2 linked regions of the Callithrix jacchus genome follow. The protein of the gene in region 1 purifies or fractionates together with the protein of each later gene. This does not show direct contact. Links are inferred from orthologs where the notes say so. Each region holds a gene or a part of one and is shown on either strand. Other genes may lie near its edges.

Region 1 (4,237 bases):
GGTCCAGAGAGGCTGACCAGCTGAAAAGAAGAAAATGTGAGGTCATACTCTACAGCTGTCACTCCTCAGTAACCCAGACCTGCCTCAGACCACAAAAGCTCCCTCATGGCTCTCTAGACACACGTATCTGAAGAGCTCTATTTGGGGGTGGGGGAGGCAGGATCACAGCAGGAGGTGTCTCACCATCAGCCGGGCGTGGTTGATGTTCCAGGTGAAGGTGGTCATGGTCTGATTCTGTGGGTCCACAATAGAGTCCTCCAGGATGTACACCGAGTGAGCAACATTGGCAGGAAACAGTCGCTCGGCCCAGCGAGGCATCCTGTTGGTCTTGGTCAGGAGTCGCCGGGACAGCAGTTTCTGGTCAGGGGTCACCTCCCGGTGTACTATGTCTTCCGTCAAGACATGTTTGCTGCAGGAGTCAGTGAAGGTGGCACTCAGGAGCCTGCCCCGAGACTGCCCGAGGGGATTCCCGTTTGGAATCTCCAAGCCCAGAGAGGCCTTCCTGTAACCTTGCAGAGTTGTATGTGTTATGGTTCACACCAGAGTTAAGAGCCCATCCCAGGGCAAATTCCAACTCCCGCCATCTGGCTGACCTGGATTCCTGGGCCTTCCAGCAGCAATAGACCTCATGATTTACTGCACCTCAGGAAAGTGCCACGAGCAGAGGATAGGATTTCCGACCCCAAGATCCCTCCCAACTCCCCTACTGCCGCCCCTTCTTGTCTCACGACCCTGAGAAAAGAACCTTATATTAAGATATCAAGTAAACCACCACCCAGGCCCAACCTCCCTTCAGGACCTTGCAGGCCTGGCCTGGCCGCTTCCCCGATAAGGTCTACGTAGGATTAGATGTCAACTTCTTTCTGGTCCCATTACTCGGGGATTATCCATACTTTGATCTCCAAATAGCGAGATGGTGGGGTTTTGCTCTCCCAAACACCACGTACCTATAGGGATTCGGGTACCGCTGCCAGAAGGCGGCGAACACTTGGTCCCAGGAACTCCGGAGCAAGCTCTGGCCCAGGAAATACTTCACCATCGTCCCGGCCGGAGCGGGCTCAGCACCCACGCAGCATCAGGGGTGCGGAGCCTGGGAGGCACGCGGGGGCCGGGCCGGGCCGGGGCTCGGCGCACACCCTCCGCCAGGCTCGGGGCTCAGTCACCACCGCACCGCGCCCTAGCAGCTGCCGCCGCCGCCGCCACCGCCATGAGTTGTCCGGCTGCGCGCCACTTCCGGCGCAGCCACACGGTAGCCACCGCTTCCGGCGCTCGCGCCACGTGACGTTGCGGCCCCGCCCCCTCTCCCTCTCGCCCCCTCCCGCGGGAGTCGCGGCGCTGCGGGTAGAAGCCGGGTTGCCGGAGACCCTAGGTTCGATTGGTACTCGAGCCGGAACTGAGTCTAAGCCCGCAGGCGAGCGAATGACGGAGTAGCGAGCTGCACGGCGGCGTGCTGCGCTGTTGAGGACGCTGTCCCGCACGCTCCCAGGCCGCCCCGGGGCTTGGGGTCTTCGAAGGATATTCGGCGCCCGGGGCGGAACAGCGGGGGCACACTGGGAGCTGCCGAAAGTGCAAGGCCACGGCCAGAGCTCGACCCCATCGCGCTGTCTCGAATCGTTGGTTGGCGCCGTTTGGGGTTGGGGTCTGAGGCCTGGGCGCTGCCTGGGCCGAGCGGAGATCCGGGTTCGCCCCCGTCCCCGCTCAGGACCCTGACGTGGCTGAAGCGGCCCCGGGAGCATGAGCGGGCAGCGCGTAGACGTCAAGGTGGTGATGCTGGGCAAGGAGTACGTGGGCAAGACGAGCCTGGTGGAGCGCTACGTGCACGATCGCTTTCTGGTGGGGCCCTATCAGAACGTGAGTGCACCCAGAGGGGCCAGGCACGGTGGGCGGGGGCGTAATCTGCACCTATGGCCCCAATCTCTTCCCTCTCGTTGCAGACCATCGGGGCCGCCTTCGTGGCTAAGGTGATGTCGGTCGGAGACCGGACTGTGACATTAGGTATTTGGGTAAGTTCCCTGGGCATCTATTCTAGGGAGTCTCATTCTTGAGGAGGCTTAGGTCCTGCCTATTACTGATTGATTTGTGGCCTCACAGACTCGTTTCTCATTGACCCGTTTCCTTATCTGGAAAATAGTGGGGTCTGGAGAACATGGCCTTAAGTTTGACTCAGACCAGGGCTGAGCCTGTCCCTCCTCTTTAGGACACAGCAGGCTCTGAGCGCTATGAGGCTATGAGTAGAATCTACTATCGGGGTGCCAAGGCTGCCATCGTCTGCTATGGTAAGGGGGAGTTCTGGGCTGGCCCACAAGAAGAAGTGGGTGCCAGGCTAACCAGAGAACAGCCCCTGATCACTTGGTTGTGTCTCCTGCATGCCCCACACCAAGACCTCACAGACAGCAGCAGCTTTGAGCGAGCAAAGTTCTGGGTGAAGGAACTGCGCAGTCTAGAGGAGGTAGGTGAATAGACTTCACCAGAAGACCAAGGGCTAGGGTTCTGTTGGTCTTTGGAGGTGACGCTTGTCTTGTGTGTCAGGGCTGCCAAATCTACCTATGTGGCACCAAGAGTGACCTGCTGGAAGAAGACCGGAGGCGTCGACGTGTGGACTTCCATGACGTCCAGGATTATGCAGACAGTAGCTGTTCCTCACCCTTTGGGGGGTGGGGGTGTGTGGCTGTCTGGGTGGATCACAGAAAATAGGGACTGCCTTGGCTGCTAGGGCAAGGTACTCTAGAAGGGCTTCCTAGCTTCCTTGAACTGTGGGGTCCAGGAGACTCCCTGAACTGCTAGTCCTCCCTTTTGTCTGCTTATCTAATTCTCAGATATGAGGCTTTAGTCACTTCTCTTTACAGATATCAAAGCTCAGCTCTTTGAAACATCCAGCAAGACAGGCCAGAGTGTGGGTGAGTGCTGTGCTGGGGCCTCACACAGGAACAGGCAGGGGCACCAGAGGAAGCTGAATAGGGAACAGAGGGCTGGGTCACTGGGAGATCCCAGGACTACTGGCATTGGGCCCTCATTGATCATCATTTTTCCTGCCAGATGAGCTCTTCCAGAAAGTGGCAGAGGATTACGTCAGTGTGGCTGCCTTCCAGGTGATGACAGGTGTGCTTCCCAGCCTTTATGGACTTACTCTAGGCCCACAGCATCTAGCCTCTTTTCTGAATTACCTGATCCCAAGAGAATGGTGCTGAGCAGCCACCTCTTTCTTTGACAGAGGACAAGGGCGTGGACCTGGGCCAGAAGGCAAACCCCTACTTTTACAGCTGTTGTCATCACTGATTCACCACTCACCTGGCCTGGGAGAATTAAAGGAGTTCCCCAGAGCGGCTGGACCCAGTTCCTTACTGGGCTTGGGTAGTCAAATGTCTGAGCTAACCCAGGTCCTCATGTCAGCAAAGGTGGCACCTGCCTGTGCTGGCCCATGGAACGGAGGCAGCATTGGGCTGACTGTGGGCATGAGGAGGGATAAGGGCTTATTTGGACCCCAGGCTTCTGCCCTGGACAGCACTTGTGTCTGCAGATTATTTAAGTGGCTTCTGATCTGTAAATAAAATCAATGCACTGTGAATCACACCCAGCCCCTTTCCCTGCTGTGTGAATTGGGTGTCAAGACACCCAGTTCTTTCTGGGGCCACCCAGCTGGCCTCACTGGTTTATATTAAGGTTTTCCTATCTCTCATTTTCCTTTGGAAAACAAGACTTCTCCCCAGGGTTACAACTGAGATACTGGGGCTGGGGTAGTACAAAGCTCACAATTCCTTCCGAGTGCTGCAAAGCGTGTGTGAGCTGTGTTGAGATAAAAGGGTCAAGCATTTTATCCAGGTTGGTCTGACCAGCTCTACTGCATCTGTCATGTTTGGGCCCATATGTCAGACCTGTGACTCAGGTCCTGAGCATCCCAGTGACATCCTACAATGCGGTTTAATGGTAGAAAAGTCCTAAGTTCTGTAAGACAGAAAGGTCTAATGGATCCAGATTTGGTTCCAATTTAGAAAAGGGACTTAAACCCTCAGCTTGAGTTTATCATCTGTAAAATAAGGTGACTACTACACAGCCCAAGGATTGTGAGATCCTAAGTGAAGAGTAATTCTAGTACTAAATGTTTTTCCCAATCTTCCCAAGCACTTTTTGTTGAAAGGGCAGGAAGTTCAGGACTAGGTCACAAGGGGAAACAAACTCCCAAGTGTCCTCCAAAGTATTAGGCCTTGAAGGTCCATATATTTCTGAGGGATCAGGTGTT
Region 2 (4,454 bases), on another chromosome or scaffold:
CCTATGCCAGCGACTGCGCCGGCTTCTTCTCCCCCGGCATATGGATGGGGCTGCTCACCTCCCTCTTCATGCTCTTCATCTTCACCTATGGCCTGCACATGATCCTCAGCCTCAAGACCATGGATCGCTTTGATGACCACAAGGGCCCCACCATTTCTTTGACCCAGATTGTGTGACCCTGTGCCAGGAGGGGGTTGAGGGTGGGACAGTGTCCCTCTTCCTACCACAGCATGAACCCCAAGCTCCCTTTAGCCCATCTTGCTCCCCGTTCAGCCCACTAAGGAGATTTCCTGGGGCTGCCCCCATCCCTACCAACAAGGTGTACATAATTCTGCGTAGATGCTAGACCAATGTCCCAGGCTCAGCCGCGGTGAGGCGTAAGGGACATGAATTCTAGGGTCCCCTTTCTCCTTATTTATTGTGTCTACATCATCCCTGGCTGTGGATAGTGCTTTTATGTAGCAAATGCTCTCTCCTTAAGGTTATGGGGCTCCCTGAGTTTGGGGGTGTGGAGGTACTACTTAACTGTCTGACCTGCTTTGCTGTCGTTATTGTTTTCTGGTGATGCTGTGCTAATGATAAGCAGTACACTGGGGTTTATTTCTGTGGCCTGAGAAGGAAGGGACCTCCACCCCAGGTGGGCTGGGTGCAATCTCCAGCTGTCTGGCATGTTCCCATCGGGAGTGCCTGGCAGGAGCCTGGCGTGCTCGGTTGTTTCCTTCCTAATAAACGCGGATCGCCACGATTTGGGCCTCTTGTAGGTCATTTCTGCACTGGGCTTTAGGTGCGTGCTCGCTGGAGGGATGCGGGAGGATGGAGCCCGGTGAGGAAGAGGTGAGGAAGCATCCGCGGAGACCTGGAGGGGCTTTAGCAGGGTGGGCCCTAACCACTTAGGGCAGGAAGGGGCGGTCGGGCCGAGTCCCGTTACGCTTTGGCGACTCGGGAGGCCGTCGTGACAATGGCAGCCTTCGTATCATGAGGGGGCTGCCCCGGCTGCCGCAGCGGCGCGCACCCGGCCGCGGGACCGCGCCGAGCCTCCCGCGGGGCTGGGCGGGCGCGCGCGGGGCGGGGCGGGGCGGGGAGGATGGGGCGGGGCGCGCGCGGCTCCGCGCACGGATCCTTTCCTAGCCGCAGTACCGGCCGCCAGCCCGCCCCGCCCGCCCCGCCCCGCGCCTCTCTGGACCCTCGGCGAGCAGCGTCGTCCTCGGAGCCGCGCTGGTGCTGTGGCCCGGGCCCTAGCAGGTCTCCTGGGAGGCGAGCTGGGGAAACGGTGGATCTGGCCGGGCGCGGCGGGGCTCGAGAATAGGCGGGACTCTTTGACGAGGCGGAGGGGTCAGGCGGCGACCGAAACGCCGCCATCTTTGGTCCAGTGCTGCGGCGGCGGCGGCGGCGGTGAAGGAGGAGGAGGAGCCGAGCGGGCACTGGCACCGAGGCCTGACCATGGACGAGGAATACGATGTGATCGTGCTGGGGACCGGCCTCACCGTAAGTGCGGCCCCAGGCGCTCTTGGCCCCGTGTCTTGCCCTCGCCACCCCCCGCGATGATGTGGCCGCCGGCCCACCCTCCGGTCACTGCCATCTGATGCGCTCGGCTCTCCAAAAAGCCGGCACCGTGCCCACCCCGCCGCTCCCCGCGCCGCTCCCCCCGCGACGTCGCCTCTGCTTTTTGCTATGACCCCATCTTCCCGAAGGGGCCCCCTTCCTGGCTGCCCGGGTCTGACCCCCGGCACCCTCCCATCTTTCCTACCCCTGTGCCTGCTGGGCCGGAAAATGCACCCCAGCTAAGCCCGGTGCCCCGACCCCGCCCACCCATCGCCCCCACCCATCACGGAATCTCCCCCCCTCCCGCAGGTTGCCCGCACCCATCGCCCGCTTAGCGTCCCTTCCCATCTTGCGCTAATCCCGGTAGGGACAGGGACATGGGGTCAGGGGGCCTCCTCAGGGTGGGCCCTCAGCCCACCTCCTCGTCTTCTGGGGCCAGGGGATCCAGGGAATGTTCCAGAAGGAGCAGCGGTGGGGGCAGTAAGCACATTCCCTCAACCCCACCCCGGTTGCCTATGGAGACCTCAGGCTGAGTAGCATCTGCAGCCTTTGTCCTTGGGCTAGTGACAGTGACGGGTGAGGGTATTTATCTTCCCCTTTTCCCCAAAAACCCCGTTGGCCCGCTCCCCAGAGAGACTCTTCTTTCTCAGTCCAAGCCCAGATGCCCCTCATCAGCAGCAGGGTCTCCCGCCATTTGAAGAAAGATCAGTCCAGGGTGGGGCCTACAATTTCAAGGACTGCGCTAAGCCTTTCTTCACCTCCCTTTCGAGTGTCCTTCGCAGTCCAGCTAGGTCTCGTCTGCGCCTCATTGTGTTTTAACAGCCTTTCTGTGCAGCTCTGCGTAGATACATGTCCATTGGCTTGTGGGTACTGGAAGGCCATCCTGTGTCTGCTGGATGCCCTGCCTCTCTCAGAGCCTCCATTATTTCACTGCCTACCTTGTGAGGGGGATGGGACTCCTTTGCCCAGCAAGGTTACAAAGGAGACGGTGGTCAGATGAAGCTGTCACCCCAATTTTAGGCGAGGCAACTAGCTGGTTTGAGGGGGTGGAAGGAGCTGTCCACTGGATCAGGTTTGGGTGGGGAACAAATCAGGGCTGCTGGTAGGAAGGGAGGCAGGTAGGAGTGAGAGGATGGTATTGCCCTCCCTCCAGGAATGCATCCTGTCGGGCATCATGTCTGTGAACGGGAAGAAGGTGCTGCACATGGACCGGAACCCCTACTATGGGGGTGAGAGCTCCTCCATCACACCCCTGGAGGAGGTGAGACATCTGGGCCCAGGCCCATCCCTGTTCACCTCCCACGTAGCGGCACAGGGTAGAAGAAGCTCCCCAGGTGCCTGGAGCAGGAGGAGATGGTCCCTGAGGTGTCTCTCTTCTGCTTACAGCTGTATAAGCGTTTTCAGTTGCTGGAGGGGCCCCCTGAGTCGATGGGCCGAGGCCGAGACTGGAACGTTGACCTCATTCCCAAATTCCTCATGGCTAACGGTGAGGGACAGGAAGGACATATTGCAGGTCGGGGTGATGGGGAGGTGCAGCCAGACCAGCAGAGACTCTGGAGAGAGCAGTGCCGATGTTGCCCCATGCACACCCACAGGGCAGCTGGTAAAGATGCTACTGTATACAGAGGTGACTCGCTATCTGGACTTCAAGGTGGTGGAGGGCAGCTTTGTCTACAAGGGGGGCAAGATCTACAAAGTACCGTCCACTGAGACTGAGGCCTTGGCTTCCAGTGAGTGTGGGCCCCCTGAGCCAGAGAATCATGGGGTGGCAGGGAAGTTGACTGTCCTTGGGATGGGTGGCTGTCCAGAGTAAGGCACCCCCTTGTCCAAAGTCACATTCCCCATGAAGAACCAGAGGCCCTTCACTCTGTATCCTCTCTGCCCCATGCCATGCCTCACGGATGGCTGCCAGGAGAGAGGCCTACACGCAGCAGGGATGTGACGTGGAGGAGGACAGGGCTCCTTTGGAAAGACTTGACCTTTTGGCAGGGGCTCCACTGGATCCCCGAGACATCCCCAAATGTCCGAGCAAGGAAGGCCCTTAGAGCCATCCAGGCCAGTCCCCTCTTCATAGAGGCAGGGAAACCGAGGCTGAAAAGAGCGGAGGGGTTGAGCTAAGGTCCCACAACAGCTACACTGGGAGTGGGGCCCTGCCCTTTGGGAAGGAGAGTTTTGTGCTGCGCTGGTGCAGAACCTCGTCCTGCCGCCTGCCTTAGATCTGATGGGCATGTTTGAGAAACGGCGCTTCCGCAAGTTCCTGGTGTTTGTGGCAAACTTCGATGAGAATGACCCCAAGACCTTTGAGGGTGTTGACCCTCAGACTACCAGCATGCGTGATGTCTACCGAAAGTTTGATCTGGGCCAGGATGTCATCGATTTCACTGGCCACGCCCTGGCGCTCTACCGCACTGATGAGTGAGGGAAGCTGGTGTGGCGGCAGCCCCCTCGCCCGGCCTGCCTCCTCCCTCCCCACACCTGCCTGCTGTTCCCCTGCCCCGCATGTCTCTTGTACTCAGCCATAGGCTCACCTATCACCCTTTCCATTTCCCCCTTGCATTTGATCTTCATGTTCCCTAGGCCATTCAGGGTGGTGGGAAGACTGGCCTGGTACCTGGGTGGTGGTGAGTCAAGGGTGCTGCTATTGGAGCATCTTCCCTTACCCCTGTCCCCCAGCTACTTGGACCAGCCCTGTCTTGAGACCATCAACCGCATCAAGTTGTACAGTGAGTCCCTGGCCCGGTATGGCAAGAGCCCGTATTTATACCCGCTTTACGGCCTGGGTGAGCTGCCTCAGGGTTTTGCAAGGTGAGGACGTGGGTTTTTTCAGTTGGCATTGGCTGAGTAGGACTAGGGCCAGGAGTGGAGCTGGCCCCTTGAGCATTTCCCTGCTAGCATTGGTCTTCATTGACTTC

What was found.
Region 2: the proteins of RAB24 (region 1) and GDI1 purify together in Homo sapiens (affinity purification with mass spectrometry; 3 studies listed by BioGRID and IntAct, counting the BioPlex papers as one, with this or other methods). This does not show direct contact. The link is inferred for Callithrix jacchus from reciprocal best matches to the Homo sapiens genes RAB24 and GDI1.

What each region holds. Positions count from the first base shown.
Region 1 is NC_133503.1:68,847,456-68,851,692, forward strand, and holds RAB24 (ras-related protein Rab-24), read left to right. Parts: upstream 1-1,310; 5' UTR 1,311-1,734; coding exon 1,735-1,851; intron 1,852-1,934; coding exon 1,935-2,003; intron 2,004-2,197; coding exon 2,198-2,276; intron 2,277-2,381; coding exon 2,382-2,449; intron 2,450-2,529; coding exon 2,530-2,629; intron 2,630-2,846; coding exon 2,847-2,897; intron 2,898-3,036; coding exon 3,037-3,089; coding exon of another isoform or gene 3,090-3,099; intron 3,100-3,211; coding exon 3,212-3,355; 3' UTR 3,356-3,570; downstream 3,571-4,237. Other genes in the region: PRELID1 (PRELI domain-containing protein 1, mitochondrial), read right to left, coding at 184-409, 948-1,039.
Region 2 is NC_133524.1:150,231,735-150,236,188, forward strand, and holds the start of GDI1 (rab GDP dissociation inhibitor alpha), read left to right. Parts: upstream 1-1,357; 5' UTR 1,358-1,440; coding exon 1,441-1,485; intron 1,486-2,695; coding exon 2,696-2,803; intron 2,804-2,928; coding exon 2,929-3,028; intron 3,029-3,137; coding exon 3,138-3,272; intron 3,273-3,758; coding exon 3,759-3,957; intron 3,958-4,215; coding exon 4,216-4,347; intron 4,348-4,454. Other genes in the region: ATP6AP1 (V-type proton ATPase subunit S1), read left to right, coding at 1-176. UniProt on the Homo sapiens protein: Regulates the GDP/GTP exchange reaction of most Rab proteins by inhibiting the dissociation of GDP from them, and the subsequent binding of GTP to them. Promotes the dissociation of GDP-bound Rab proteins from the membrane and inhibits their activation.